4 linked regions of the Coturnix japonica genome follow. The protein of the gene in region 3 purifies or fractionates together with the protein of the main gene of each other region. This does not show direct contact. Links are inferred from orthologs where the notes say so. Each region holds a gene or a part of one and is shown on either strand. Other genes may lie near its edges. The genes, in order: USP46, SUGT1, PHLPP1 and USP1.

The links.
Region 1: the proteins of PHLPP1 (region 3) and USP46 purify together in Homo sapiens (affinity purification with mass spectrometry; 7 studies listed by BioGRID and IntAct, counting the BioPlex papers as one, with this or other methods). This does not show direct contact. The link is inferred for Coturnix japonica from reciprocal best matches to the Homo sapiens genes PHLPP1 and USP46.
Region 2: the proteins of PHLPP1 (region 3) and SUGT1 purify together in Homo sapiens (affinity purification with mass spectrometry; 5 studies listed by BioGRID and IntAct, with this or other methods). This does not show direct contact. The link is inferred for Coturnix japonica from reciprocal best matches to the Homo sapiens genes PHLPP1 and SUGT1.
Region 4: the proteins of PHLPP1 (region 3) and USP1 purify together in Homo sapiens (affinity purification with mass spectrometry; 6 studies listed by BioGRID and IntAct, counting the BioPlex papers as one, with this or other methods). This does not show direct contact. The link is inferred for Coturnix japonica from reciprocal best matches to the Homo sapiens genes PHLPP1 and USP1.

What each region holds. Positions count from the first base shown.
Region 1 is NC_029519.1:59,564,688-59,572,276, forward strand, and holds part of USP46 (ubiquitin carboxyl-terminal hydrolase 46), read left to right. Parts: intron 1-2,457; coding exon 2,458-2,541; intron 2,542-2,815; coding exon 2,816-3,013; intron 3,014-3,851; coding exon 3,852-3,930; intron 3,931-4,911; coding exon 4,912-5,013; 3' UTR 5,014-7,589. UniProt on the Homo sapiens protein: Deubiquitinating enzyme that plays a role in behavior, possibly by regulating GABA action. May act by mediating the deubiquitination of GAD1/GAD67.
Region 2 is NC_029516.1:148,362,717-148,370,305, reverse strand, and holds the end of SUGT1 (protein SGT1 homolog), read left to right. Parts: intron 1-4,682; coding exon 4,683-4,773; intron 4,774-5,309; coding exon 5,310-5,491; intron 5,492-6,055; coding exon 6,056-6,157; 3' UTR 6,158-6,588; downstream 6,589-7,589. UniProt on the Homo sapiens protein: May play a role in ubiquitination and subsequent proteasomal degradation of target proteins.
Region 3 is NC_029517.1:62,912,419-62,920,007, forward strand, and holds part of PHLPP1 (PH domain leucine-rich repeat-containing protein phosphatase 1), read left to right. Parts: intron 1-5,193; coding exon 5,194-5,340; intron 5,341-5,851; coding exon 5,852-6,082; intron 6,083-7,589. UniProt on the Homo sapiens protein: Protein phosphatase involved in regulation of Akt and PKC signaling.
Region 4 is NC_029523.1:24,709,253-24,717,500, reverse strand, and holds the start of USP1 (ubiquitin carboxyl-terminal hydrolase 1), read right to left. Parts: upstream 5,176-8,248; 5' UTR 5,041-5,175; intron 4,766-5,040; 5' UTR 4,738-4,765; coding exon 4,568-4,737; intron 3,719-4,567; coding exon 3,595-3,718; intron 3,251-3,594; coding exon 3,143-3,250; intron 2,685-3,142; coding exon 2,524-2,684; intron 2,004-2,523; coding exon 1,285-2,003; intron 579-1,284; coding exon 408-578; intron 1-407. UniProt on the Homo sapiens protein: Negative regulator of DNA damage repair which specifically deubiquitinates monoubiquitinated FANCD2. Also involved in PCNA-mediated translesion synthesis (TLS) by deubiquitinating monoubiquitinated PCNA.

The sequences.
Region 1 (7,589 bases), on a different chromosome or scaffold from region 3:
AAACAATTTCTCTCTTGGGGAAAAATTGATTGCCTTGTCATCTGGAAGAATCGCTGCAGAATAATAATTGGTTTCAAAGAGGTTCGTGTGTGCTTATCTTTAAGCTTTTAGTCAAGTGCTTTGTTGATTAGGATTTATGTGTGTATTAAAAGTCAGTGTGTGCTTTGTAGAGCACTAAAGTCCTTAGAGGGCAAAAGATTCCCAAAGTCTTCTTTTGTGCCATGTAAATTTCTTATTCACATCTCATCCTAAAATTATAGTGATAACTTTTTAAGTCAGTTCTGCTCATATTTCATGCCTATTTATTAAACAAATCCTTCAGAGATCTATGTGATTTTCAGATTTGCATGAATGGTTACTCTGAGGGATACAAAATATCTGGACTTTTGGCACTGACGCAATAGGCAGGTACCTATGTTTAAGACAGTATATTACTGCTTTAAAGTAATGATTATGAATTGGCCAAATTACTCATTCAAGCTCCAAATTTGCTGCCAACATTTAACAACTGCTGAAACAGCTGTTCTGGAATGCCTAGGAAGCGTTGCCTGATACCTCACATCAACTATGGAGTTGCAGAAAGAGAAAGCATACAAGGTATAAACCAATTCCTGAATCAGATGGCAGTGATTTCTCTGTGGACACAAGTGTCCTGAGAAATAGCTATTGCAAAGGTAACTGCTCTGCTGTGTCTTTACAGCTTTAAAAACTACTGCATTGAAAAGGTACATGGGGTACACGGGGTTGGACTCGATGATCTCTAGAGGTCCCTTCCAACCCCTACAATTCTGTGATTCTGTGATACATTAAAGAAAATCCATGCAATACAACATTTCAGTAAATGAATTCTAAAAATATGGGAGTGTAGAGGGTCAGTGATGAATTAGCATGTCCTGAGAGAGTAAATTCCTCTTTTTCGTTAAAATGCCATATAAACAGATGCAGATTGGCCCATTAATGGAATAGGAGGAAGTTAGAAATGTCTTGCAACTCATTCTGCAGTTGAGGTTTCTGAAGCCTGTAGCTCTTATTTTTAAGTGTGAAACAAGTTTTAGGAGTACCATGCTGAGAATTCTTGATTGATGTAACAACTACAGAAATTGCACTCTTGAAGGGCAAAAAAAACATTTAATTTTCCTCCATACATCTCTTCCCCCAAGAAAATACTTACTGCTTGTATGTGGGCTACTTGTTTTTTTCTTGGTACAGGCAAATAAATTAATATGCTGAGTCAGTAAACAAGTAATGCCTCTAGGTTCTATGACTGTGTCTCACCTGCTTTAGTAGAATACGGTAACAGCCTTTTAGGCAGAAGGTAGAGGATAGATAAGAGGGTAGTTTGATTTAGATTAGATAATGCAAAGAAAGTATTCTCTTTGAGGGTGGTGATGCCCTGACATAGGTTGCCCACAGAAGAAGCTGAGTGCCATGGATGCTTCATCCCTGCAAGTGCTCTAAGCTGGGTTGGATGGGGCTCTGGACAACCTGATCTAGCAGGAGATGTCTCTGCCCAAGTAGGGTGTAGGAGCTCCATAAGCTTTAAGGTCCCTTCCAACCCAAGGTGTTTGAATGATAGAATACTCTATTTAAAGACCAGTCACAAAAAAACCTCCTGTGTCTAAACTGGACGATAGGTGCTTATGCCTGCCTTTGCAGTTCTCAAAACACCTGCCTAGTTGCAATGTAACACTAGAGGTGGCAAAACAAACAACTGTCATTTTTTTCCTGTTAAGATTTTTAGACACCTAAAGTTCTGTTCCAAAGCGTATAAACGTTGAGACTTCTGACAAATCTTTTCTGCGAACTGTGCAGCACAATTAAGCCAACTCTGCCTCCCTTCAATAGCTCTGTTTAGAAATTTTTCTAAGCATATTTACTTTAGTGATATATACAAAAACCACCATACTAGCTGACGCTTTCCTTTTTAGATATCATAAAGGTATAACCACATAACTTCTGGATAAATGTTCAGAGGTTGGGGGATGCAGAAGCCCAAGTTGAGTTTATTTTTCTGCATAAGAAAATTCAGGCTTATCTTACAGGAGAACACTATAAAACGTGAACTACCTGGGGATGAAAGAAGTGTGCTGGAAGATGTTCTGTTCTATAAATAAGTTGAAAAGGCACTGGATGGGTGCCTATCTACACTGAAATCTAGGCAGCTCCTTGACATGTAAGAGATGAGGATATAGGTCCTATTTAGAGACAGTTGACCCTTTTCTGGTATTGCATAGAGAGTCTCAGCACCTAATGCAAAGCTGTCACTACAGCCAGATACTGTAAGTCCCTTTGCAAATCCCAGTACAGTTGCTTTTAGTGCTTTAGAAAACTGGATTTCAGTGGAAACAAGATTTCATCCTGTGTGTCTTTTTAGGATTCCAGTTCCACAGTCCAAGCGTGGCACTGGGGCAAAAGCATTAAGAACTTTGTGGAACTGATAATTGTATTTACTTACAGAGACTTCAGTAACACAGAGACATTATGTAGTGAGCAGAAATACTACTGTGAAACCTGCTGCAGTAAACAAGATGCACAGAAAAGGTAAGCAAAGAGCAAGGTGGTTTCAGTATCTTGCTCCTGGACTTTGACAAGCCTTCTTTTTAACATTTATCAAGTTTCTAGAATTTACACCCCACATGCATTATCTGCGTGGGCCAGAGAACTTGCAGACAGACTCAAGGCTATCACACCACTTAGTGTAGAAGCTACTGCTAGTATACTACTGTTTCTTACAAGGTGTTTTTCTAATGCAAACATTTATTCATTAAGAAAGAGTGGCTATGAATTGGACATGTGCGTTCTTATGGTTTCACAGGATGCGAGTAAAAAAGTTGCCAATGATTCTTGCCTTACACCTCAAGAGATTCAAGTACATGGAACAATTGCACAGGTATACTAAGCTGTCTTACCGTGTAGTATTTCCCCTGGAATTACGTCTCTTCAACACGTCTGGTGATGCTGTCAACTTAGACCGAATGTACGACTTAGTAGCTGTTGTTGTTCACTGTGGAAGGTAAGACTCCTTCACATATATCCCAAGCTATTACAGGTTCCAGGCATTTTGTCAAGGATGAGGCATGCCTGACAAAATGGAGGGAGAGTGCAAGAGGGGATATAAGCTGTGCTGCTGCCCCAGCTTGTGTATATCTTGGCCTGAAGTTCTTAGCTACCCTTTCTCACAGTAAATCCGTACCTCTTTGAAAAACAGTGCTTCAGTCTCCCAAAGTCACCAGACTGAAATCAGGAGAAAGGAAGGAGGAAGCTGACTCTTTCCTCATCACTCCAGTTAGAGAGCTTGGATCCAGAAGGGCTATGGGCTTTTAGTATGTAGGCTCTGCAGCAGATCGGCCTGTTCCTGTCAGGACAATGAAAACGATACCTTTGTTAAAGCTTCTCAGGAGCGAAGCATTGTCAGACATGAAACAAACAGACAAATCCTTGGGGCTAGAGAAATATCTTGTTCTCCTTTAATCTCAAAAACAATAAGTAAGTTACTATTCATGGCTGATATTTTCAAACAATTTCCCCTTAAAATTAATTCGTGTCATTTTAAAAATATTTGCCATAGTTGATGCCAGCTATGAGGAAATTGTTAAGTACTGTGTAGATCAATTTGCAGATGGTCATAGCACAAATCAAAACAGCACATTATGCATTTAGTTGACTAGGTCATTGCAATGAGGCAGAAAAAAAGAGAACATATATACTGTACTGCTAGAAATGGGTTTACTGTATTCTTCTTAGCATGTAACTATAATTTTACTTGCTTTTTTATGGACATGTGACTTATCAAAATCGACCCAGTAGTACTTTCTAGTGTTATATTGGGTTTTCTTCATTTACCTTTTCAGTGGACCGAATCGTGGGCATTATATTACTATCGTGAAAAGTCACGGATTTTGGCTCTTGTTTGATGATGACATTGTAGAGGTCAGTATGCTGAAGGCCATGAGCACAACATTTGAGTTTATGTTCTCTTTGTTTGGAATTAAAATTCTGATCCAGATCTGTGTATAGATTACTAGTCTGCAAAGCCACAGCTTGGTTGTAATGTGACGTTTGGCATGGCTCTGTCAGGAAGATAGATTGCAAACAGAATGATTAATGGTGTAGTTCTCACCCTGTCAGTGTAAGAGAGAGCTGTTTTACTTTAAAGCAACATGAAACATTTTTAATATTGCATTTTGAGTGTTTAATTTAGAATATTTTTTTAAGCATAATAAGATCAAGTTAATTCATTAAAACTTAGAACATATAGGAACTATTTTACAGTCTGACAACATCACTTGGCAAAATTAGGTTGATTGAAGTTAGGGTTGTTTGGAGTTTTATTTCTTCAACAATTTGGAGGTTATAAGAGCATCTGAACTTTGTAGTCAGTCTTGGATTGTCTGGATGAAAATTAGTGAAGGATGTGGTCTACAGCTATTACAGGTTATCTACACATAGCACAATTCATTCCCAAGCAAACCCTTTATGTCACTGTGGCACCTGGCATAACTGGGGTCCTGAGTTTAGTTCCCCAGGTTTAAATCCATTGGAGTAAATTAAGAATTGGATCTTCAGGACCATTGGAAATTAAGCATGTCTTGAAGAGGGTTTCTGTCACTTTTCAGAAAGATGAGGCCACATTTGAGTTTTTTGTTTACTACTGCATTCCAAACAGACTGTGTTAGTTGAAAAAGCCTAATTCCTTTAGGTTCTCCAAGGTGAATGTTCCTATTGATTTCAATGACAGCAATCAGTAGGGTTTAGCACCTGAACACTAATTACCATTTCACTGCAAAGAGAACTTGCTGATTGCTGCTCTAAAACATATAAATGAATTTGCCCTCTGTTTCTATATAGCTTTTTAATCTATGCTTGGCATTTCTTTTAGCAATACGTTAAATGATTCTATTTATTTTACAGAAAATAGATGCTCAAGCAATTGAAGAATTTTATGGACTGACCTCTGATATATCAAAAAATTCGGAATCTGGTTATATTTTATTCTACCAGTCAAGAGAGTGACTTGGGAAACTGTGACAACTGCACACAACAGCTCTGCAGGCAAAGAAGGTGATGGCCCAATGAACTGACTTTTACAAAGACCTCGTCTTGTATGGCTGAAAAACTATATCTCCTGTCTCTCATTAAATGGCCTATGTGCTATTCACCATAACTGTTCATTTTTGATGTACAGAACTTTCTTTCAGGCAGGGAGGGTAGTTTGTTGTTCTTAAGTCTAATTGAGAAGTTAATTGTAGTCAGTTTTTAGTGGAATTTGTATGGAATAACATAACGCATCAAAAGAATTGGACTATTAAACCAAATCCAGATAGAGCAGTATTTTATATGGAAGAGCTCACTGTGTTTAGCCCAAAGTTGTTAAAAGCTTTCTAAATGATTTTGGAGTGCATTGACTTACTTAACCAATTTAAATATAAGGGGGAAAAAATCTGCTTCATAATTACTGGAATTGCCATAGGTTGGGTTTTTTTTTTGTTGTTTTGTTTTTTTATGTGCTACTCTCAACTGTGAAGGAAGTTAATCTTCCAAAATCATTTAAGCTTTGGGGTTGTTAAAAACTTTCAGTGTATAATGTTAGGCCTCAAGTTCACATAGAGGAATATAAATTACAATGGAACTAAGCAATATTGTATGCCCAGTCAATGTGATAGTACAGGTGATGTGAGATTTCAGAACTTACAGAGCACTGGAATAAAGTCAGTATGATGACACATGTAACACACAGATGAACTGCATTTATAGAGATTAAGTTTATTGTTCTGTTAAAACAATATAATACGTTCTTGACTTGAGTTTTCAGATATAACAATGCTGCTCTTGTACAATATATCTGCGAGGACTGAAATTACACAGTCCAGCTACAGGTGTGCTGTTGGTACACTACATAAAACAGGGCTCCATCCTACATTATTATTATTATTGAATATTAGACAGCATTTTGATCAGACTAAGTTCTACTGTTTCTGATTTTACTGGGTGAATTTGGCTGGCTATGTAGTCGTACAGTGGTTAATAAAACCATCAAACACACATACTGGAATAAGGCAAAGAAAGAGTGTAGAAGAATGTGTCAGTAGGGTATGAGAAGGAATAGAAAGCAGGATGAGACACAGGTAGCACTAGGTATCTCTATTGCTTGGTTTGACACAGTTGTACAGTGCTTGAACCTTATCACCCAAATGCCTATCCAAATTAAATCAACAGCATAAAACCTCCTGTTGTCTTAAGGGCAACCAAGAACTGGTTCTAGTATTTGCAAGGACACTTTCTCATCTCACAAAATATATTTTTAATTGTTACGTTTTATTCACTCTCGTTCAGTATTTATGAGACAGTGTTGCTTTTGGTACTTTTCTTTTAGAAGCCTGGTAGTCAGTGTTTCAGAAAACTGCTTCTGAACCACAGCTAAATCTATTTTAGTTTTCTGTAGGAAAAATATTTTTCCACTGTAATCTACTGTGAATGTGAAATATCTTCTCATTGAATAATGGGGAAAGTGGAATACTAGCTTCTACACCAACGTTGATTGAAAAGACGGATTTATCTATGGCCATTTTGCAAACCAAGGAAATGTAGCACTTTACACTGAAGGAGGAACAGAAGTGAGCTTTTCATATGACATTTTTTTTGTGGTTTATCATGTCATTATACTAGTACAAAAAAAAAAAAAAAAAAAAAGATGTAGAGTAACCTCGGGGTCCTTGGGTACATGAATAGCGGAGCTCTTCAGAGATCACTCATGTGAATGAAGGTTGTTATGCAGGCTACAGATACGCATAATTAGGATGCCATTCTTGTTCTTGTATCGATGATGGAGTGAAATGTTCTGTCTGCAACAAAAAAGACAGACATTCTACAGGAGAAAAGTTAAACCTGTAAATCCTTATTTGATGAATTCATTTATGTGCATTCCAAATTTCCACATTAAAAATATAATAATTAATTGCCTTTTAAAACAAGAGCATTTCCTGCTCATGAACGAAGGCAGCTTCCAGACCAGCATTCGCCAGTGTTGGTCCAAGGGTCCGTACTTCATGGCCTAATGCTGAACATTCATAGGGCATCCTTCAGTTTCCAAACAAGCAACAAAAAGGCATCTTTAATGCAGCTCATGTTTATACATGAAGTCATTTTGCATAAGAATAACATTAAAATTGGTCCAATTTTAGGATATTTGTTAAATTTTTTTGAATTAGCTTATCTGACAAATTATTAATTATTGGTTGGACTGGATGATCTCAGAGGTCTTTTCCAACCTTGGTGATTCTATGAAGTACTATTTAAATGATAAATTATAGAATGCTCTTTGCTTTTCTCCAGCTGCAAGACAGCTCTAGGTTGTAAAACATGCAGATAATTGCTACATGTTATTGAGAGCAAAATTCATAGAATGAATTTACCATCAAGTATGGAAACCATGCTCAAAAATGAAGCACCCAAATCTTCTGCTATAACTACCAAGAAATGCACAAGATCTATGACAAATTATTGAAAAGGTTCATCTCATGAAAGATCATGGAACTGATATGACACCAGTCCACCATCAGTGTTCTGACATTAACTCTGAAATATCACGG
Region 2 (7,589 bases), on a different chromosome or scaffold from region 3:
TCTGGTTAAAAGAAGAGTGGCCAACAGAGAGGGAGGTGATTGTCCCCCTCCACTCAGCTCTTGTGAGGCCCCATCTGCAGTACTGCATCCAGGTCTGGAGCACCCAGTACAGGAAGGATGTGGAGCTCTTGGAGTGGGTCCAGAGGAGGCCACTAAGGTGATCAGAGACTGGAGCACCTCTCCTGTGAGGAAAGGTTGAGGGAACTGGGCTTGTTTAGCTTGGAGAAGAGAAGGCTGCGGGGAGACCTCATTGTGGCCTTTCTAGTACTCAAAGGGAGCGCATAAACAGGAGGGGAAATGGCTGTTTACATGGGTGGGTAGTGATAGGACAAGGGGGATGGTTTTAAAGTGAGACAGGGGAGGTTTAGGTTAGATATTAGGAGGAAGTTTTTCACACAGAGGGTGGTGACGCACTAGAACAGGTTGCCCAAGGAGGTTGTGGATGCCCCATCCCTGGAGGCAGTCAAGGCCAGGCTGGATGTGGCTCTGGGCAGCCTGGTCTGGTGGTTGGTGACCCTGCACATAGCAGGGCGGTTGAAACTGGATGATCACTGTGGTCCTTTTCAATCCAGACCAATCTATGATTCTGTGATATGATTTAAAACTCACAGCAAGGGAAAAGCAATCAGTAGTTCAGTAATAGACATCAGGAGTTAATAACTAAGGAGTTGATTGGAATAACTAGCTCCAATAACGAAGGAATTGTTTGGAAAGCCTGATTTCTTATTTTCTTGCATTAAATATAGCAAAACATCAGAAACTAAAAGAATATTTTTCATACATTTTAAAACCAGAGTCTGAGCTGTTGTTCTGTCTCTGCCAGGTTTGATTTCCTTCATCCATCTGATCAGAGCTCGACACTAATTTTCCAAGCAAACTTTCCCTTAGCATGAATTGTAGAATAAGAGATGCAGTAAAAGTTAGAATAAATTTCTCACAACTTGTTAGTGCATACCAGAACTTTCTTATTAAAAGAATTTTGGTCATTTTTCTGCATCTCATCTGATGAGGAAGGACGCTGTTGTAGTCGAGGGCTGTCAGGGTGGTCAGGTGGCTGCAAGTCGTGAGCTACAAGGAGACTCTGTTCAACCTTAAGAAGAAAAGGCTGAGGGGAGGAAATCTTCCCTCCTAACAGAACAGTGTAAAGAAGATGAAGCCAGACTTCTTTCAGAGCTATGTGGCTGTAAGAGGGAGAGTCATTGGGTACAGGTGGGTGTAAGGCATCATTCCTTTTGCATTGTCCTTTGCTTTGTATTTCTGACAAATGCAGCTTCGGAGCTTCTTTGCTTCTGTTGCATTCATTGACATTCATTGCATTCATTGAGTTTCAATAAGGAGTAACAGTGAAAACAGGATGCAGGCTTAGAGTAGCTGTGCATCATATCTTTAGTATGTAGTTTGTAGCACAACCAGGACCTGTGAATAAGTTAAGCCTTCGTGTGCCTAAAGGTTTTGAACCTGTTTTTAAATTGTATTTAGTTAGAGAAGGTTTTTAAAGCAGCATTTGATGAAGTGGTTAACAACAAGAGCCAGCTTCTTAAACAGGCATGCAAAACACTTAATTTATGGCGGATTTTTCCTGCCTTATCCTAAAGCTGGCATGAGGCACACAGGCATATGTTTAATGAAATATAAATGTTAAATCAAAGGAGCTGGCAAAACACTGAGATGTATTTCTCTTGCCTGGGTACTGAATCTTTTTCAAGGGAGAGAAAAAAGCTAACAGTGTTAGGTGTGGCACAAATGATGTTACTTGTCTATGCAATAGCTATCAGTATCTGCTGGAAAATATTCATTAAAATGCATTCATTGCCATTTGTGCACATAATTGGGAGTTGTTTCTCCTTAGAGCGAGTAAAGCAGAAATAGGCATCTTCACAAGCAGGATTTTCTAGCTTTATTTTTGGAAGACCTGGTTGTATAACGGTATACAGCTAATGATTTCCCTAGTTTTGTTCCTGCCTGCCGCTTTCCCTAATGGGTGAGTTGAATTGAAGTGGATGGAGTAGACGAGATAAAGGCTTATGTCATAAATGTGTTCTGTCTCAGTTTCTTCAGCGAAATATACTCAGTTTGGCGGTGTTGAAATGGTTGAGATTTAAGGAATCTGTATCTAACACTGGGAATTAGTTTGTAGCATTTCCTCTTCCTTGAGGATGTTTGCCGTATAGTACTGACTCAGGGCCACTTTCAGAGAGGAAAATGTACCAACTAGAAGATTAAAAAAGGAGAGGGGGATTATTGGAACAGCAGAAGTATGAAGACTTTTTCTTCAGTGTGTGGGCAGAGTGCTCTGAGTAGCCAAAGGGATCTTTGAGGAGGGTTGTACTCTGCAAAGAAGTCTGTGTTGAGAGGTTCACGTTCAGTATTTTGCTGCATTAGAAATCGTTCTTGATACAGATGATGTAGCCTGTGTTTGAAATACTGAAATATGTTGATGAAAGCCTGAAGCATAAGGATAAGAGGAGGTAGCAAAGGGGGGAAACAGGCAGAAGGGAAATGGAAGTGACATAGGTTTGCGCAGGTTCAGCATTGAGAACGTGCTGGTTTTTGTTATTGTCAGTATAGGCCGTTCAGTGGAGATGCACTAATTGACTATAAAAATCGTGGTGTTAAGGCCTCCTCAGCAGAAATGTGTAGCTGAGCTGATAATGGTTTGTGCAACTTGAGAAGAGGCGTGTGGGAAGTGGCGGGATAGACAGGTGGGTTTAAATTAAGACTTAGTGTTTCACTGCTGACCAATTAGTATCCTTGTAAGTGGCTAATTAACTTAAACATTGGATTCATAAGATCCAAATCCAATAAAAAAAACCAACCAAACAAACAACCCACTAGTTCTGATGTGGAGCTACTAATCTCATATGCGGATCCATAAAAACAAAACCATCACAATTGAAGCTCCATTCGGTTCTGAAGGACGTTCATTCTATGCTTCAAGTCGTCTTGTTCTCAGTGCAAGGCAGTGGTAGGAAATGCATACTTAACCTTGCCTAGGGAAGCGGTAGTTTCCCTAAGGGGAAAAAAAGGAGCAACAGTAATGAAAAATTCTGTTTCTTAAAATGCAGCGTGATTGCAAATATGACAGTTTGGAAATGAAAAAAGCTCTTTAATTTTATAAGGCGTCTTGGGCTGTTACATATCAATGACTGATTAGAAGAATGGATGAAATAAAGTTCACATTTCAGTTCAACGCGACGCTGTGCAAGGAGTGTGCTGCTGGGATCCCTCGGGTTAGCTCTGACAGAGGTGCCTTTGTTCTTGGGTCTGCAGGGATCTCCAGGCTATAGTGGCTTTAGGAAGAGCTAAGAGTTCTCTTATGCTAAGCTACGCAGAAATAAGGAACTGCTGAGGCTTAGCAGGCACAGATTTGAGTCAATTGATAACATCATAGGAACCTCGATGTTTTCTGAAGTGAGTCTGCCACCTAAAAGTGACACTACAGAGTCCTTGTTTTGCAGTTTGTTTTCATCATAGAATCGTCATAGAATCACAAGGTTGGAAAGGACCTACAAGATCATCTAGTCCAACCGTCCTCCTTTTACCACACCTACAGAAAACCACTAAACCATATCTCCTAGCTCCCTATCCAAGCGCTTCTTGAACACTGCCAGGGATGGCGACTCCACCACCTCCCTGGGCAGCTATTCCAGTGCCTGACCACTCTGAGAGAAGAAGTTCCTTCTTATGTCCAGTCTAAACCTCACCTCATACAACTTGTGGCCATTTCCTCAGGTCCTTTTGCAACTGTTATCCTTTGACTGAAGGTTAAGGTTAAATGTGGAAGAACTATTTCCATGTGGTTGTCTGTAGGGATGGTGTGTAGTTGTGAATATAGAGGCATGACATGCTTCACTTAGTTCTGTTTCTTCTATGATAATTACAACCATATCCACTTTTAATTACCAGTTCTGTCAATGAATACTAGTCAATTTTCTCTTGTAGCAGTGTGTTGGTTGAACCAAATGAGTACAGCTTCTGCATTTCTCTAATAGAAGGATCAGAATAGTTCCTGGGTGGTTCTCTGGTTTGTATAGTATACAACAAATACTGTGTGTTTGTGTTGATGGGTGAAAATTAAATCTAGCACTTGGATTTTGCAGTCATTCAAAAGTTCTATTTAATTACTAGAGCTGACTGGCAATTAACAGATGCTTAACTGTACTTTTATGTCATGCAGCGTAAAGGTGTTGTGATCTTTCATTATTCCGGGGTGCCATAATTCACAAAAAGTATCAAGCAAATAGTGAGCATAAGAAAGTAATACTAAATAAAAGGTGAAACTCTGATGTGACTGCTTAGCTCTTGTATCAGAGCTTAGTTCACATGTCACTTAAGACCCACAAGTTAAAGACGCCACCTTGCAACACTGGGGCCCGGAGTTCGAATCCCCCGAATCCCCCCTGTGGCGCAAGTGGTAGAAGTGCTGCTCTGCTACACAGAGGCTCGAATCCCAGGGGTTGGACTCGATGATCTCTAAGGTCCCTTCCAACCCGCACGAAACTATGAAAAGTTCATCTGGTAACGTAGGCCAGTCTTTTTTCAGCGCAGGCTTTGTGATAGAGATTGTTTCTAAACCAAATGTTATTATTTTCTTGCTGTTACAGAACCCAACTAATTTGAAACTGTTTGTCTGATCTGTTTGCCATCTGGATGAATTTTGTTCTTGGCTTTGTGGTTTGTAGGTTGAAATAAAAATGAAGAAACCAGAAGCTGTAAGATGGGAAAAACTGGAGGGAGATGGAGATTCTCTGAAGTTAAAGCAGTTTGTACCAGGTTTGTTATCTGAATTCACCATTAAGAGCTCTATTTTTGTGAAGGTATTTTCAGATATAAACAACTGGCGTGTTAAAAGTTTTTAATGAAATTTGTCCTGTATTTACAAAGGAAAGCCTTACAGTCTTGTGGAAGAAAATGACAGAAATAGGCTGCAGGGCATTACTAAAATTAATTTATGAAGTTTAGTCGTAACTTCTGTTAATCTGATGAATTGTTGAGGATGTATGCTTGTCATTAATTCCTCTAGGCTTTTATCTGTTCAGATGTTTATTCCTGTCGCTGTTTTGAAGTTCTTTGCATTGCTGTACTTATATTAGTACTTAAATATTAGCGTTATTTACCAAGGTATTCTGCTTCTCTAGAAAAGTAATGCATTTGCAGTGTTTCAACACTGATTAATAGCCCATGTTGGAATGAATCGTGTCCAACTTTGATTATGTCAGACTCGCTAGACACATGCATGTAAAGCTGCGGTTTGCAGTACAGCCAAGTCTGTAGAAAATGCTTAGCTAACCAATGCTTCCATCTTTCAGACACCCAGCACTTATATCCATCATCCTCTCACTATACAAGGAACTGGGACAAGCTGGTAGTGGAAATCAAAGAAGAAGAAAAGAACGAAAAGCTAGAAGGAGATGCTGCTTTAAATAAACTTTTCCAGCAAATCTATTCGGATGGTACCGATGAAGTGAAACGTGCCATGAACAAATCATTTGTAAGTCATCACTCTTTCTCTAAAGAAAAGTGTGACTTTTGCACAGTGTCACGGTTGTAGTGAGCTTTGCATGCATCAGAAGGCTTCTATTCAGCAAGACCCTAGGCCTGTAATAAATGGCCCTGGTTCAGTGGGAGATGTTGGTATAACAGGTCTCAATGGAAGACTGTACTTTGTTGTTGCTTTCTTTGTTTCAGTTAGTGTTAGGAGAGGGAATATAGTTTTTGGTTCCTAGAGAGCTTTTGTTGTTGCTTGAGGTGAAAGAATCAAATTTCTATTGTTCTTTGTATGTACAGCTTACAAAAATGTTGAGTGACCCTCTAAAAGCATCCTGTTAATTGACTTCTCATCATGTCCAGTACTAGTAACAAGTATTTTTAGGCTGAGGTTTATGGGCTGATGACTGTCAGACTTCATTCAACGAACACGCACAAAATTCCTATGTAAATTGTTTTTGCACGAAGTTTCAATTCTTCAGGTTTCTTCAGAGTTTGCCATCTGCTGTGACTTCTATATTGCTGGAATTCCTGTACCAAACTAAACACACGTTTCCTTATGTTGCAGATGGAGTCTGGAGGCACAGTTCTGAGCACCAACTGGTCAGATGTTGGTAAAAGGAAGGTAGAAGTAAATCCTCCTGATGATATGGAATGGAAGAAATACTAATCCTATTTTTAATCTTTTACCATCTGTGTTGCCATAATCATGTACTGGCCACTGTATATGAACATAGCATTCTCGGATTCAAAGCACTGAAATGTTCCCTTGGAAACAGGAATTGTCTTTACATTTGGCGTGCTTTACAGATCTCTTCATCTGCAGATGTTAAAGATGTATTCAAGAGTGGAATCCTCTTTTCATCACCTCTGTTTTGGGAAATTGAATCAAACACAGTCTAAATTTTCTACCACCTTTTATCAGCTCTGCTCTTTGGGGATGGGATGATCTCTAATGGGCTGTTAAGGATGATTGCCTTATGCCTGATATTTCTGTTCAATAACTTATTAGATCTTGGCAACTTTGGGTAAAAATACTTTACAACAACGTTAAAATTGTTTGCTCTTTAACTGCTAAATAAAACTGTAAATACAACTTTATATACAGCAGCTTCTTCGTTTTTTGCATTCTTGGTTTTTGATGAAGGGGAATTAAAGCATGTAGCTAAGAAAGTAAATACGCTGCCTAAGGAAAAAAAAACAAAACATATAGCTTGTCTGGGACCAAACTCTTAATTTTGTAAGAACAAAATTGTTCTTGTTGGTGCAGATAAAAATTGATATTATCTTGGTGATAGATTGGACTGTAGTCCAACGTGATGCAAGTCAGCAGGAAATTTCTGCATGCTCAGAATTGCTCTCATTGTAGAGGAGAGTGCCTGCATCTGTCACTGTGCAGCAGTGCGTTGTTTCTACCAGTGCACCTTCTTCATAGTGATTCAAATTTTGAATGATAGCTTTTCCAAACAACAGAGCTAAGGAACTTAAATACTTTCTCTGTCTTTACCTCCTGGATACAGGTCTGCAGTGGCCTGCATGCTTGGAGGCGCTCAAAAGCCTGTTGGATGGCTGGGTTTAGGTGTCCCTGGTTGAGAAGGGGTAGGACCGGGTGACCTCTGGTTGTCCCTTTCATCCTCAGTCATGCTGAGGTTCTGTGAAAGCAGGGGGTATGGGTTACAAAGTTGAGGTAGTGATGCTTGTTCTACATCCCACTGTTGGGAGTTCAGAAACACAAATATTCCACTATTCCAGAAGTAGATGTCACTTGCAAATATTGGCAGCCACCTGAAAGTCACCTCATTCCTTGCTCTTATCATTGGTGCTGTTTTGAATGCATGGCTATTTTTCCTTGCGTTCCTGGTTGTGCAGGCTCTTCTGGATTGTTACTCTATTTCTTTCTTATATATGTTTATTTTTTACTACTGTGAGAACCAGTTGCCCAGTTTTGAGATGGTTTGCTACCTGTATGGCAACTTGATTTGATTTGGAACAGGAACTTGAACTTGTTTCTCATAGATGAGTGCTTTTGAGTTATGCACTGGAAGGCACCTCTTCCATTACTCCTTAATGTAGAATGAAGACAAATACGTGAGCTTTACTTT
Region 3 (7,589 bases):
TGCCCTAATAACTATTCACATGCACACTTCAGTTCAGTCTTAAGAAATAAATGTTTCTGAGTGGCCTGTCATCGTGTTCAGGTTGGAAACCCATCCCCTACTTCATGTTTTTGCATCTCAAATATACATTTCCAATATGGAGGAGAACACATTTTTACTTTTCTAGGAATGTTGTTCTTTCATGAGGATAGTCCTTCCCTTCTGATGAAGCAGTGTGCTCTAGGTATGTGCAAAAAATTGATAACTACAAAGAACAATAATGCAGATTTATATTATTTCCTCTAACAAAGCCTTCTTTGTTTTTCCAGTCTTTATTGTTGTCTTACCAGCTTTGTAATAGAATAAGAGCTTTACTGTTATCTTGAAGTTGGTCCAAATTTGGCTTAACATCTGTGATTCTATTTTGAAAAATCACTGCCTGGGCTTAAGGTTATTCCTGCAGCGCAGTCTCTTTAAGGCAATCTACCAATTAATTTTGGCATATAGACTCAAGTCTGCATGCCAGAATTGTTGCCTCTTTTATATTATTAAATGGAAGGAGGAGAGAGAAATATCAGGATGACTGTCTGGCACGTTGGCATAAAGGGTAATGAAAATACCAGAATTGCAGCTATGTCTGTTTTTTGGGTGGTTTTTTTGTGTTTGTGTGTTTTGTTTTTTTTTTCCCCTCCCCTTCCCTGTGGGGCTTAAGAAAAAGGAAGAACAAGAAAATTCAGGCACAACTGTGTTTTCATTTATCCATTCAACTGATGGGGAATGTGATAAGTAATGGTGAATTTGTTCAGGTTTTTTCTGACTTGCTCAGAATTGATCTTTTCTCTCAAACTCTGTAACTGATCTCCTTGCCTGAGATGACTTTATTCCAGCTGGTTTTGTGCGGTGTGACATCAGTTACTTGGCTGCTAGATGAACAGGAGTCTTGTCCAGCAAAACAGAGTTCCTCCTTCCTGTTCTCTGCTATCATCTGTGGAAAACTCTTCTGTTGTTAAACTTGGAGTGCTGCCATTGACCTCAGTTAGGAAAAGCCTTCACCTGAGGCATCCAAGTGAATTTCCATAGCTTTTGCAGAACCGGTCTTCCCTTGTTCAGCTTTTCTTTGACGAACTTAGCAGAGCAAGAGAGTTTAATTTTTTATTAAATTTTATTAATTGTCTGATATATTTAAGGCTCTTGCAGCCACACATCTGTGTGTAAATGGAGATGCTCTGAACTATTTCTGACACACTGCTTCTTTAGGTGATACACCATGGATGGATGAATCAGATGCAACTGCAAAATGATAGAAAATTGGACTATTTATTGTGATTACGTTACTGGCTAAAGTAGCAGGCATGTATGTAAGCAGAGACTCGTGTGCCATAGTTCTGCTAGCAAATGATGCTGGAGCTGAGGGACAGCAGTGTTGCTGCTTGAAGTGATGGTGAACTGCAACCACAGAGCACAATCATCAGATAAATCAAATGCTGGAGATGGCATTAGGAAAGCAATTGTTTAATTTAGTCTGAGTCTGTAAGCCGTGTGTTCTGTTGGGTTTGTAGTATAACATGAGAGTTAAAGTGCTTTTGGTAAGAGTAAGCTGAGACTGGCTTTGTTAGGCTAGGCTTTTTGGCTGTGTTCCAGTCATGGTGTATGGCCATCTTGAACATACTTACCCTACTCCAAGCATACTGAAAGACAAGTATTGTACCGTATAATGGAAATCCCTTTGTGCACATCAAGTAGATGTGAATTTGAAGTTAGCGTGTCAGCTCATTGCTTTGCCATGGTATGAACAACTCTTGTTAGCCCCTCTCCTCATTTTGCATATGTCAAATTAATACCACTCCTGAAGTGGCAGCTTCAGGATTAAGTATGCTTTTTTTTTGCTCAATTACGGCAATTAGTGTTCAGTCGTGTTGTGTGTTTAAAAGCAAGAGCTGACACTTGAATGCTTTGCTCTAGATTAAAATAGGACTATTTTTGGCCAGATGAGTATTTCTACGCTGGTCATTACGATAGAAAGTCTACTAAGCTAACGGAACACAGCATGTCAAGCAGCGTTGTTCTTCAGTTTGACTTTTTCTAAGGGGTAACGTCTCCTAGAACCAGGGAGGGTAGAAGAAGAGGAAGGAATTCATTTATACTGACTTGATGTGAGGTTATTACCATGTCATACCTCAAATGAACAATGTTTTCTTCTTTCCTATGGGGGCAACATCACTGTGTTCCCCAGCTTCTGTTAGGAATAAAGACTTGGGGGTGAGAAAACAGCGTAGATGTTCTGTAAAATGCTTGAAACTCAACGTCATGTAAACTCAACAGCATCAGAAAAATGAAGTCTGTAAAATATTTTTCTCATTTGTGATTTATAGCATCAGCAGCACCTATAGCGTGGCTACTGACTGTAAATCTATCTCAATAAGAGAAGCACTGTAAACAATTCAGCGTTTCAAATGTGTTGCATGGCAGTGCTCCATAACGGGAGTGCGCCCACCCATTTGTGGCGTAGTTAGCTTGGCATGTGAGTGATCAGAGATGAGAGGCAGACTAACTTTGGGCACATGCTGCTGCTTATTGTAATTGATGCTGCTTTGTAAGAAGGAATGTGACTTTAGCATGTTGCAGATGAACATATTTAAAGTATTTGTCTTCCAACTTTAAGTACGATTTAACAGTAATTTTTTTTTTTTTTTTTTTTTGTGGATTATTTGACATAAGCTTATTTCTGTAATTTTGGTTTATATGTATCCAGTATTGGAGATGCTTCTCGTGTTATATAGACCAGTTGACCAGTACAGTTCATGGCTTTATTAATTAGATTACTGGAAGTTCAGTATACAAATTAAGTCACGGAAGACCCTTAATATTAAAACATACCTTAGGATAGTAAAGATACAACACATTTAAAAAAATGTTTCCCCTGGACCTGGGATGATTTTCCACAAGAGAACGCATGCAGAAAAACATTTAAGTTGAACCCTGCCTTGATGCTTGTTGATGTAAACATGTATTTTTAGCTTCTTCCTTTTCTACCTCCCCACCTCAAATCCTCTTTTCTCAATGTAACAGCTTGATCTTCTGTAATTTTATCTTAAGATTGTGTTTGGAGTCGTGTAGTAGACTGCACTTTTCACTTGGCTGATGGGCAAAAGCACTGAAACTGTTCCTGAGGCTCCAGAGTAGTACAGGCAAAAGCTGTAGCCTACGTGTTGATTATTAAATTAGTTAATTCTTTTTTTGTGATTGACTTGAAAGTTGGAATGTTTGCATTTTTAAACTTATCTGTCAGATTTTAGTTACTGCCTTCCTGTCTTCACCACTGTTTTACACACCTAAATACTGAAAAACTCATTTGAAATGCCTTTTTTCATAGTCACTGGCACTTGTATTTGTAGCTGACTTTGAGATAACTGAGGAGCAGCTGTCCCACCAGAGCTGAGGGTGGCATTCTATCTTTGGCCTAAGACTACGGTAATCTTCAAGATAAATGCAGGATGGCGGGTATTAGTTTTTAGGTTCACGATTTTTAAGCCCTTTCTTCTAAAATAGGAGAACAGGAATGTATTTCATTTAACTTTTTTGGTGTGTGTGTGGCTAACAGCCCTTATTAGCATCAGTTAGCTTACCCTAGCATTCTTCTTTATTTTTACCGTTCTCCCTCTAGAGATGCATTAGTCATTGTTTCTGCACGGTAGCATTTCTTTCCCTGCAGCAGTAATTTGATTGCAAGATTTCATTTATTCTCCATCTAACTCTGTTCCAAACTTCTTCTGCCTCCAGCATAATATGGGGTGTTCAAAATCTATGCTAGTTCTGGCCAAGAGTTTTCCTTCTTTTTTGTCTCCATCTTCGTACCAAAATACCAACAGATGGCAAAGTGTTCCCATGTCAGTTTGAAACAATTGTAAATATTAAGTGTGTTTAGTTTGTCTCTTGGGGTAAGTAAAATCCACATCCCCTTTGAGATGTGCTATGGAGGCACTATTTGTGTTTTCATGTTGTTTTATTCAGTGGCCTGGGTGCTGAAGATTTGTAAGTGACTTAATGCTCAATGCATTTTCTGTTCTTGTTTTCTAACTGGGGAAGAAGTGCTTTAAGATTAGAATGTGTTGGGTCAGTACAGAGGCTATGGATGCACGGGCACATACTATCTGAGATCACTCTCATGTGAAATGGGAGGATTTGTAGGTGCAGTTTTGCTTCATGTTATATAAAAGCCCGCTCACAAAATGAAGGGCTTGAGAGTTAATGAAGGGAAAATTAAGTTTAAATAAAATATTATGGAATAAACCATGCCAGAAAAGAAACTTCTTCCCATGTATCAGATTCTGACGCAGATCTTTTCATTCATCCATTTACTTGTCTTTCAGCATACCTCCCAGTGGTTGTTAGGCAACCATAATAACATTGCTGAACATGGGTGCTGGCTAATTGAATTGTCCTCTTGGTTTTTTTGTTCATTCTTGGTCATTTTTAATAGGGTGAGCAAACACAAGTTGCTTCTGTGGCTGACTGGATAAACCAAGGGAATTTTGAGTTTTGTGAAATGTCGAGGACTGCATTTTGAGATCAAGCTTTTACATCCTGATGGATACCACCTAATCAAAATCCAGAGAATTTGTCTGTCACTACAGAAGTCTTACTTGAATTTTGCTTTATTTCCCCCCCCCCCCCCCCCCCCTTTTTTTTTTTTAATTCAAACCCTGATGCGTTATAATGAGGTTTTTTGTTTGCAAGGCAGTAGTATCTATTTGCATGAATGGAGCTGAGCTGAACAAAACTACAAAACTGTGTTGAAATAAGTGAGGTTTCCAGCAACTCATAACCAGCATCACTAAGGTGGTCTTACAATCAAAAAATGTGTTGAGAAATTCAGCAGTGTTTAGTACAGGATCAGATGCCACAGAAGACCTTTTTAGAAATGAAGTATGTTACGTGGATTACAAGGATCCGACCTGTGTTACGTGCATTAAGTGTGTTGTTCAAGAGGACCTATTTTCCTATACCAGCTTAACGTGATTGATCCTCTTGCAAGTGGTGCTGAACTTGAGTACCTGAAAGTTTCCATGCTTGTTTGGAGTACATAAACTAAAAGCGCGTGTGATTTTTATTTAAATAGCCAGTCTTACTTCACATTAATTGTTGCAAAGCAACTAGGTGTTTATTATGCTCCACTACTTTTTCTCTGTTTTTTTTTTTCTCATCTCTTTGTAGATTCACCAAGTTGAAGAGCCTTAACCTCTCCAATAATAATTTAGGAGACTTCCCACTGGCAGTTTGCAGTATCCCAACCCTGACGGAGCTCAACGTGTCCTGCAATGCCCTCAGAAATGTTCCAGCAGTTGTAGGCGAGATGCACAAGCAAGTACTTTCTTAAAACTTAATGTACACAGCCTTATAATAAAGGCAACAAACATGACTCTGCACATAATCTTGCTATGAAAAGCAATATAAGCTTAACTGGGTTGTGTCAAGGGAAACTGTCTTGAAGATCTATATAGAAGCAGTTCTGCTCTACGAGTAAGCTCACTTTGCATCTGAAACTCTTCAAGTCCCCAGTATTTAACACAAGGGTCACACTCATGGTGAACTGAATCTTTAAGCCTTGCTTACATGCTTCAGTCATCAAATATGTGGAGGTGTTTGAAGGTGTCTACTAGCATGGCCAAAATTTCATAGTTAGCAAGGCTTTTAATTGCTCAGTATCTTCTGTAGCAGATGTTAAACCATTGTTCCTTTGTTTTTCTTATGCCCTTTGTATATTTTATTTCACCGTAACCACAGCAGACTTGTGTGTTTATAGGAAGGATATGTGATTTAACAGGTCACTCACATTCTTCACTCTCCCTTCCCCTCCCCCCATCTTTAATAGCTTGCAGACATTTTTGCTGGATGGTAACTTTCTCCAGTCCCTTCCTGATGAATTGGAGCATATGCATCAGCTCAGCTATGTGAGTCTGTCCTTCAACGAATTCACTGACATTCCAGGAGTATTAGAGAAGCTGACTGCTATGGATAAACTCTGTATGTCAGGAAACTGTGTGGATACACTCAACTTGCAAGTGTTAAAAAGGATGCCTCATATTAAACATGTGGACCTAAGGTAGGTATTTGAAAAATGGGGAAAAAGAAATCTAAATTGAATCTAAATTAGTGGTATTGAAACAATTTATTTAGTTGTCATAATAACCTCTGGGCATGAATCTGTTGTATTAGATCATGTTTCTGACTGTTGCATAACTTGCAGCACTTGCAGAGACTTAGTGTTTTTTCTTTGAGGAAGAGGTTGCGCTTAGGATCATGAGTTTTGAAGGACATGAATGTTTACACCAAAAGATAAAATGAAATGGTGCATGGAATGCTGATGGCTCCCATAGTTCTAGTTAGTGCAGTATTACTATACTATAAATTACAGTTACTTATCTGAAAAAAGCTTCTATCTGAAATATTACAGATATGTAAGATGATGAAAAGAAAATTCAAAGTGTGTGGGCAAAAACAGATTATGTTTCTTGGTGTGTTACAAGGCCTAGTCCACAACAAGTGACAGTATTTCATTGATGCCTTCAGCAGATATTAAAGAGAACCCTATTTACAAATGGCTTTTGTGTGCTGGTCATTCTTACTGTCTTGGGAGAACCCAGATTTTGCGAGCAGTTGAGCAAGGCTCAATGCATAACCTTTACTTATGATATCCAAATAGTGATGGATTTTAGAACTGCTTAGTTAAATGTAACTGTTCCAGGTAAAACTTAACGTGCTGTACTGTTCTGTACTTGTCAGCTTTTGGAATCAAGGAAAGGCGATCATATGTATGTCAAGAAAAAGATAAAATGGTAAAAAGTCACCTCTCTATCACACATAACTTTAACTTCTTGTTAATTCACTTTCTCCTGTCCTTTGTTAAGGTCTACTATTTAACTAGTGTGGTTTAGTGTAGTTGAAGACAGTATCTTGTGAAGGTATAAAAGTGATCAAAGTAGGTGTTATGACTTCTCAAAGGTCTTTGTAAAGGTGTCCTGGCTATTTCATGTCTGTTATGTTTGTAAACTGTACTTGTTGCGCTGTGAAGTGCTTTGCTTCATTGAAATCAGAAGTGAGCACTGCCTTGTAAATTGGAAACAGAAAAGAATAGCCTGTGACAGTGGATGGGGCTTATTCCATAATTTCATTCAGTGGAAAAATATCGTTACTTTGAAAACATACAGCTGTTGTATGGAGGGTGATGTCTGAAATAAAGAGCAACAGCAAAACTGTAGGTAGAGAGGAATAACGAACCAATGCAAGTTGATGGACTGATTTTAATGTTCTGCTCAGATCTGAGAATTGGAATTCTTTGAAGTACTCTGCCATCTTAAATATAGCTATTACAAGATGATGTTGTTTCAATTGTAACTTCTCCAGAAGTTGCTGAATGTTGGCAGCAACTGCACTGCAGTGAAGGTGTGATAAACAACTGTTTTCTTTATCTGACAGACCCACTTGTCTTGGGTTTTTGCTTGGTTTTCCAGTGTGGAACATGATGAAGTGGCAAGCAAGTCTGGGAATTCATGAGTCTCAGTTTGACCTTTCAATAAAGTAGGAGATGTGAACACTTACAGACTTCTTGT
Region 4 (8,248 bases), on a different chromosome or scaffold from region 3:
TAATAGAAAAAAGTCAATTCCTGAAGTAAACTTCATTTATTTTAACAAAAATGCTGATATGTCTTCCTCTTATCCTTCACTTTAAAGTAATCTTTTATCAGGGAGGGCAGACCCAGATAAAAAGTAAATACCTGTTTATAAGCAGGAAAAAGCAGACGTAAGTGAAGGACTGTAAGCTGCCTGTTACCTATCGAGATCTGAGGCAACTTTAATACTGTCTGGATCCACCTACATTATCAGTGCTGTGTTTGCAAAGTCAGAAGTTAATCAGGACAAGAGATAGCAGAACAACCTCTAGTGTTAACCAGCACAAACAAGAGCAGTGCTCCTTCATAAACACAGCACTGTCCTCCCTCTACAGCTATCTGAAGCAGAAACACAAATCCCCCTTTATGATAATTACTTACTTTCAGAACTTTCTTCAGTTTTGGAAAGTTCATCTTCTTGCACTGGAACGCTGATGTCCTGGAAGTCCTCTCTTCTCTCAGTAAAGCACTCGCACTCCAAGCATCGCGTTCTCAGCACTAACTGGCCCTGGAACAATTTCTCCACTAGTTCAAAAACAGCCAACTCTGTACCTAGAGAAAGTATATGCCAGATCACTTACCAACATGTGCTTTATTCAGAAGGTACTACAAAACCTGGCTATTCTTCAAGGAAAAAAAAATCAAGTGTTACAGACACGGTGCCATAGGGATTCCAAAAAGCTGCTTATCAAGTGTGATTTTCACAGTACCAGAGAATCACAGGACAGCTGGGCTGGAAGGGACCTTAAAGCCCTACTGCACCCCTTCCCTCAAGAGCTGTATTCTCTCACTGACACTGGCAAAATCCATTCCTGTCAGCCACTTAGCAAACATCCTACAATAGGGAGCTACAGAGAGAACACTGCTTGTAAGGACACAAATTCATGGCCTGTAGGATTTCATTTTGTTTTCTCCTTTAAATAACATCCTTTTACATTTTTAATTCCCTCTCTATTTCTAGAGACGACAATAATTAGTAAGAATATTAGCGAAAATATAAGCCTGGTAATGTTTTTATGTTGAAGAGCAATTATGTGATATTGGAGAAAGACCTTTTGTAATCTAAGCTAAACTAGTCAAGGTGTGAAACAAAAGTTACAAATATGCAAAAACAAATTCAAAGAAATACTTCTCAGCTCCTGAAAATGTAGCTCTGTATTCAGAGAGCTCTGCTTGCAATGCAATCTGAAGGTTGACTTCCAGTGCACACTAATTTCCTAACCATACCAACTTTAAGCCCATTCACTTGTTCACCAACCTTCCTTTTTTGGCTCTTTTTCAGTTCCTTTTTCATTATGGCTTTCCACAGGAGATGTTGGTTTGTGACCATCTTCTTTAACATCGTTACCATTTTCACACTTGGCAGATGTCTCCTCAAGCTCACAGTCATCGTACTCTTTCACTGGGTCTTTGGATCCCAAATTTGTAGTTATCTTCCCCAGACTATAAAATTTGGACAGAATACTTGGCTGTTTATATGAGGATTTTAACCAGTTTAGTTTAAGTCGTGACTTCTTCTGTGTTGGCTTTGCGCTCTCGCTCTCAGTGGAACACTTGGCAATGGCATCAGTTTGATTCTCCAGCTTTTCTCCTGTTGCTTTCCTCTTTGACCTGGTTTGTCTTTGATTTTCTTCTGCTGCAATTTGTTCTTTCGATACTTTGGACTTTTTCTTTGCATTGCCACCTTCAGCATCGCTTTTTCTTTTCCCATTTCCTTTGGGTAGCTTATCTTCAGCTACCTCTCCCACGTGGCTACTTGGGATGTTCTCCTCCTCCTCGGCAGAGCTGCCAGTCCCATTGCTCTCGGAGTTTTGATGAATTTTTTCCTCCCCTTTAGCTTTGGGCTCTTCCAAAGGCAGTTTATTCAGTTCTTCCTTCTTCAGTAGCTGACACGTTTCTTGAATATTGCCAAGGATGCACTGCAGAACTTCCTGGGCATCGTGCTGCAAGTAGCCTTCGTACATAGGGTTGAGCTCTCTATTAAAGGTAAATGAGTAAAGTACCAGAGATGAGCTGATCTTTACTAGAACATGTGGCTAAAGACTTAAAATAGGAAAGCTTAGCTCTAAAAGCAGGGGGATGATCCTCTCTGCACCTGAAGAGAAGCCCTCTCTGTCACAGACACCCATGGGGAGGCAGTTACAGCCTTACACAGAAGGGCACTTAAAGACACATCCAGTTGTGACCCAGGAGTGGTACTTCTCAAATCAGTGAGAATGCTTAAATACTCCAGTATTTAAGTACTGCTTAAAATCTACTGCTGGATTTCAATTATATCTGTACCAAATCTAAATTTACTTCTAATCCATAGAAGCAGCAACAAACACAAACCTCCCCCTGTGAAATGCAGGAGAACCTCCTTTGTATAATCGCGTAACAATGCCCCAAAATCTACAATTATCTACTCCCTTCCCCCACAGTTCCCTCCTGCTCTACTGTACAGTTATAACTATGCCAAAACTTTAGGTGAAAATGTGGTGTTTAAGATAATTTGTACCTAAGGGTGTTGAGCAGCCTTCGTGGCTGAGTAGCGAGTTCATCGGTGTATTTCTCTGGGTTCAAAAGAAAGCTGGCTTGAAGCTGTTCAACAGAAAGAATCAACGAGTGCAAACTGCAGATCAGTTCATAACTCGCCAGTGGATCTTCTTTACAGTTTCCCTGCAATGAGAATGAAGATAGTTGCAGCTTTGTCTGTAACAAGCAGTTATGAGTAGCCCCTATGTAATTATCCAACAAATTGGAAAGATTTATTTTTTCCCCACAAGGGGAAACAGGTGAGTTTAAGTCAATTCATTGCTCATTCGACAGCAGAAAAGAAACATGAAAGCCCCAGTATGAACGTTAGAAGCCCAAACTATCTTTGCCCACAGACATAAGGTACGCTAAGTTTAACTGAAATTCAACCAGCTCAGCCTTGTGCTTACAAGTTCACAAAGGCTCTGAACACTCCTGTTTGAACACAAGTCCAAAACCACTCAAACCTGCTTTCACCCAGAATAGTACAGAAAACAACACTGCCCAACTTCTTAAGAGCAGAAGAAAACAGTTCCACTTTGAGAACCTTCCTGGCACACACCCTCACCTGCACCGTTACAAGGTGTACTGAGATGTATTACCTTTTCTGCTTTTAGCTCTCCTTCATCCTTCAACGATTCTTTCTTCTTTGAAATGATATTATATAAATGTTTGATTCCCGTTTTAAAACCAGGACAAAAATATAATACCTAAAAGCAACAGCAGAAAACAAGACAATAGTTGGTCAACCCAGTTATTCAACATTACCTCTCTATGCTTAGGACCCAGCCAGCTCTGCATCTCCCAAGGCCGCTGCTGGGATTACTCACAGCAGGGAGGTGGCCCAAGTATGTAAACTGACAGATGACTCAATCACAGCAATCTATGGTGCACACACTTCCTGTGGTATCACTTTTCTTCCCCTCACTGTAATTAGATTCCCCTGATACAACATCCGGACGTCTCCTCTATAATGGCAGACTAGGAAACCCAGCCACTTGCACTAGAACAGTACAATGTGATTTTTTTTTGAGGCCCCTGAATGTGATCTTACCTGAAGAACGCTGTTAAGGTAACAGGTGTTGCCAAGATTATTCAAGCCCACAAAGGGTAACATGTTGTCCTTCTTCTCACAGCTGACAAGTGAGGGAGGCTGTGCTGCAGGAACAACCTGGTCACTGTCAAACAGAGAAAACAAGCATAAGAAACCTGCCTGATATGCACACACAGCTCTCCAAGCCTCTACCGTATAGGTAGCGGAAGATAAGGAGACAGCTTACAGAATTAATGATTAACACACAGATGAAAACTGTGTCATGGTGTTTCCGAGTCTCCTTGGAGCTCCTCTAACAACCTGCAGGCAGCCTGACAGGCTTCCAGCACGTATTACTACTGCATGCACTTCCAATGCCTGTCCTGCAGAACAGCCCACAGGCCAGACTGAACGACTCAGCTGAGTTCTCTTTCAACTACTTTAATACGCTCTTCATTCATTCCTAAGACAGCACCAAGAAAAAGGATCCGCTGCTTATTTTCTATTGCTCCAGATCCACACGGCTTCATTACAGGATGCACAACAAGAGGATAAACAGCTGAATAACCAAACCAACGACCCTACGCCAACACAGCAGAGCCTTAAAGCCTTAAAGTCTTCACCACCACATATTGCTGTGATCGGGTCATTTCTCCTCTGCCTGGTGGGACTCAGCCCTGGCTGTGCTGCACTGAGCCCACAGGTGCTGAGGGCTGGGAACACAGTGTGGCAGCAGGAGCGGGACCGCTGCTTCCAGCCGTGATATCCTTACACTAAGAGCACGCTGAGAGCAGCCTAAAGGCCCGATATCCCTTCACTAAGAGCACGAACCGCATTGTGAACACGCTTTAACCAACTCAGCGGCGCAACCGGACCGAAACGAGACAACTCTGTCCCAGCACCACAACTTTGTGCCCCGGGACGCTCAAAACACCGCAACCTCGGCCGGGAAAGAGGGAAACGGCAGCGGGCACAGCCGGGCACCCGTACTTACATGTCATCGGCGCGGAGCTCGGCGCCCTTGTGCTCATGTTCCGTGTGCTCGGTGAAATCCAGCGCTCTTTTGGCCTCTTTCTTCTGGAAGAGTTTCAGCGACAGCCGGTTCTTCCTGCAGGGGCTGCCCCGCTGCGGCGCGCTGCCGTCACTCGGGAGCACCCCCGGCATCTCCGGGCGGGCGGCGAGGGGCGAACACCTGCCATATACACACATAATAAACACACATAACAAACACACACGGCGTCACGGCCGCCTCACACCGCCCCGCTCACGGCCTGGCCTCTCCTCAGCTCTCCCCTCCTTTCCTCTCCTCAGCTCTCCTCTCTTCAGCTCTCTCCTCCTTTCCTCTCCTCAGCTCTCCTCTCCTCTCCTCCCGCCGCCCCGCTCCCTCCCCGCCCTCTCGCGGTCCCTCAGTCCCTCATCCCCCCTCCCGTTGCCGTTCTCTCCCCGTAGCCGTGCCCGTTCTCTCACCGCTACATGGCGCCGCCGTTTCCCCGCTCCCCGCCCGCTCTGGGGCCGCTCGCTCCGACACGGGAAACTTGGCGCGTTTTCCGCGCCGCCAGGACCCGCGCCCGCAGCCCTCCTCGCGCCCAAGCGACCGCGGCTGCCTCGCTCAAACGCCGGAGCGGAAGGCGGGGACGACGCCGGCCGGGATCGAATTGCCATGGTGGCGAGCTGCAGCCCTCCTCGGGACGGCTAGAGCGAGTCGAGAGAGACCTCGGAGCGGGCTCAATCGGCGGCACCGGCACCAAGAGTCCGCCGCTTCCGTCAGGCAACGCGCCGGGGAGCCCTCAGGGTCCTCGCAGTGCGCGCGCGGGCGCCGCTAACGGCGCGACCAAGGACCCGGGGCTGGAGAGGGGGAGGGGCGGGAAGGGGCGGGACCAACCACCGCGCCGAGATCACACCGCGGCAGCGGATTGGTCCGCGCGTAGCCCCGCCTCCTTCCGCCTCCGCCAATCACAGCGGGCCGTTTGAACGGCTCAGGATAACGGCCGTTGCGGGGTGGGACGGGTCAGTCTCTCCTCAGAGCTCGGTCGCGCCGCTGGGGGTCGGTGTCAGCTCCGCTACCACACGGAGCAGCAGCAGTCCCGGGGCTTGTTTCACCCCCACAGCTCCCTGCCAACCCTCCCATATTGGCTCGCTGTCATGAGTTAATGCAGGGAAGTCCTTCCAGCGGGACGGTGCCGGAATGGATCCGTTTAAATGCCACAAAATGGCTTTTCCTTTCCGTATCAATCCAGAAATAGAGCAACAGCTCATGAAATATTGATGGCTGCTCAGCAGGCTCAATAAAGGAGCTGTTTGTCCACAGCCTGTGCGGCTCCGGCCTCTCACAGTAAAAGGAATGTTTCAAACACGGCTGCAGGTGTGAGGGGTGGCTGCAAACACAGCCCTGAGATGCTCAAATGCACCGAGTTAAACGATGTGTAATTGTACGGGCTTTGCAGCCACATGTCATAGAAACGGCTGCAGTGGGAAAGCAGAAATATCTGCAGGCTGAACCAAAAATAACCCTGTGAAATGCCTGGAAAGAGGAGATTCCCAGGAGGTGGATGTGGGGGAAGTCTCCGTTACAGAGCAGTGTCCCCTGCAGGGATGAAGCCCCACAGCTCTGCTTGTTGATGTGAGTTATGAGTTAGAGCTACTCACAAAGCACAGAGCTGTAGCAGCATCAGGCCCATCCATCTGCACAGTGCACAGCCAGAACTGCCCTGTGAATTTAGTGAACATTGGTGAGTTGTGAGCAGACAATGTGCTCTTTCAGCACTGCCCCACTCCTGGGGTCACCTCAGTGCAGTAACACCAACCTGACCCAGCCCTGAAGAGCTTGTGCTGGCCAGACTGATTTCATTCTATCAGAACACTTGGTCAAACAGCTTATGGCAGGAAGTGTAAGAAACCATTCACAAACATGAGAATACTGAATATAAAGTGTGAAGACAAGTCTGTCTGTTGGTAGGAGTGGTATAGATGAACATTTAGAGTGATCCTGCCTCCATTCACAACCAGACTGAAGCACGGAAACAAATCATCCAAGGCACTTGGCTGCCTAGGAAAGGAAATCTGGCTTCCCACAGCCACCAGCCCTCAGAGCCTGCAGATGCTCCCACTCCACAAGGTCCTTTTGATCCGAGGTTCCCAGCCCATCTCAGTGATGGGATGTGTCCACCAGCACCAACCATTAGGGCTGGCAGGAGGGGCAGCCTCCTCCATGGGAAACATGGCTGAAAAGTTGAGCCTGAGTGTGACCAGATGTTGCCGGAAAGCTTTTAGATTAGGCATCCTTACAGATACGGCCTCTAGGAAAAGCAGGAAGCAATAAATCAGAGCTTGCCACAGTCCTGTAAACTCCATGGTGAAGCCTGCAGTGAGCTCCTCTTTGTAGCAGCTTCCACACGGCAAACTTCTGCTGTCAGCCAGAGCCACAACACATGAGCACAGAGTGAGCTCTGCAGCAGTGCTCTCCACGCTGCAGTTTAGCATTTCTGAGATGGAGATCCACTGCAGGATACTCACAGCCTTCACTCTCATTTCTCCCTCTTAACCTGGGAGGAAGCACAGCTGGATGAAATCACTGAACTCCTCAAGTTACACGTGCATCTGTCATACCTAAGAAAATAACAATTACACCCACAGCATAGAGATAAAGCAGATTAGAGCATAACCATATCGATATCTGCCTTTGTGCGCTGGAAATCTGCGCAGTGAGGAGGGCTCTGCGGGTAGAGCCAGGGCAGAACATTTTTTCCATGCATCTTTCTGGAAGTTCAGTTCTGCGCTGTGGAAAGAATGATGCTCTGTAAGCAGCTGAAGGGTTTTCCCCCATCTTTTGTCTGTCTGGGCATATTTTATTTCACAACGTGCAGCTCGCTGCTCAGATTAATGTAACATATGGCTCCACAGCCTCGCTGGTAGCAGAGGAAGTGCAGCTTTCCATTCCGAGCTGGAATTCCAATGAAAAGCCAGGTGCTGTATTACAAACCGGCATTGAAATAAAAGGAAAAATCTCTCCCTGGTTGTGTGTAAGCCGGGATAGCGCCTCCCAGAGCTGCAACATTGCGGGAAGCAGAAACAGAACCTTCAGAGGAGCCCAACGCTGTGCAGCCGTGCACCATCTGCTGGCCACATCCCTGCAGACACACACACACACACACCCCTCACATTGATTCCATCAGTCCTCTCCAACATGGATGGTACCCCCACACTTACAGATGTGAGGCCCCCCTTGTACAGATCCTGCCTTGTGTTTGTTTTTAAATCAAACTTGATGGGCTTCCTGCTGGTAACAGGGAGTTGGAGCAGGGCGAGTGATGCTGTTCAGGTTCCTCACCCATCCCAGACACTTAATATGTATTCAGATTAAACACAGTGCTTTGTTACTGTCAGACATACCATGCTTGAGGGAAGCAAAGTGAATCATCCTGGCACAAGAACTTTATGAAGTTGGTAAGACTTGTAACAGTGGGACAGAACAATATGACAGGAAAGGTGTTACAACAAAGGTGTGATGACAGAAGGACCAGCACAACTGAAAGGTGCTAGAAAGGAAGATTGCCTACCGTATCAGAAGAGTCCTTGTTCACAGGGGAAAGCTTCACCAAGGAGAGATCTCCATGAAGTAGAGACCCTTCCTCACTCACAATCAGCCCTTAAATGGGGTCTAAGAGAGATGGAGGCT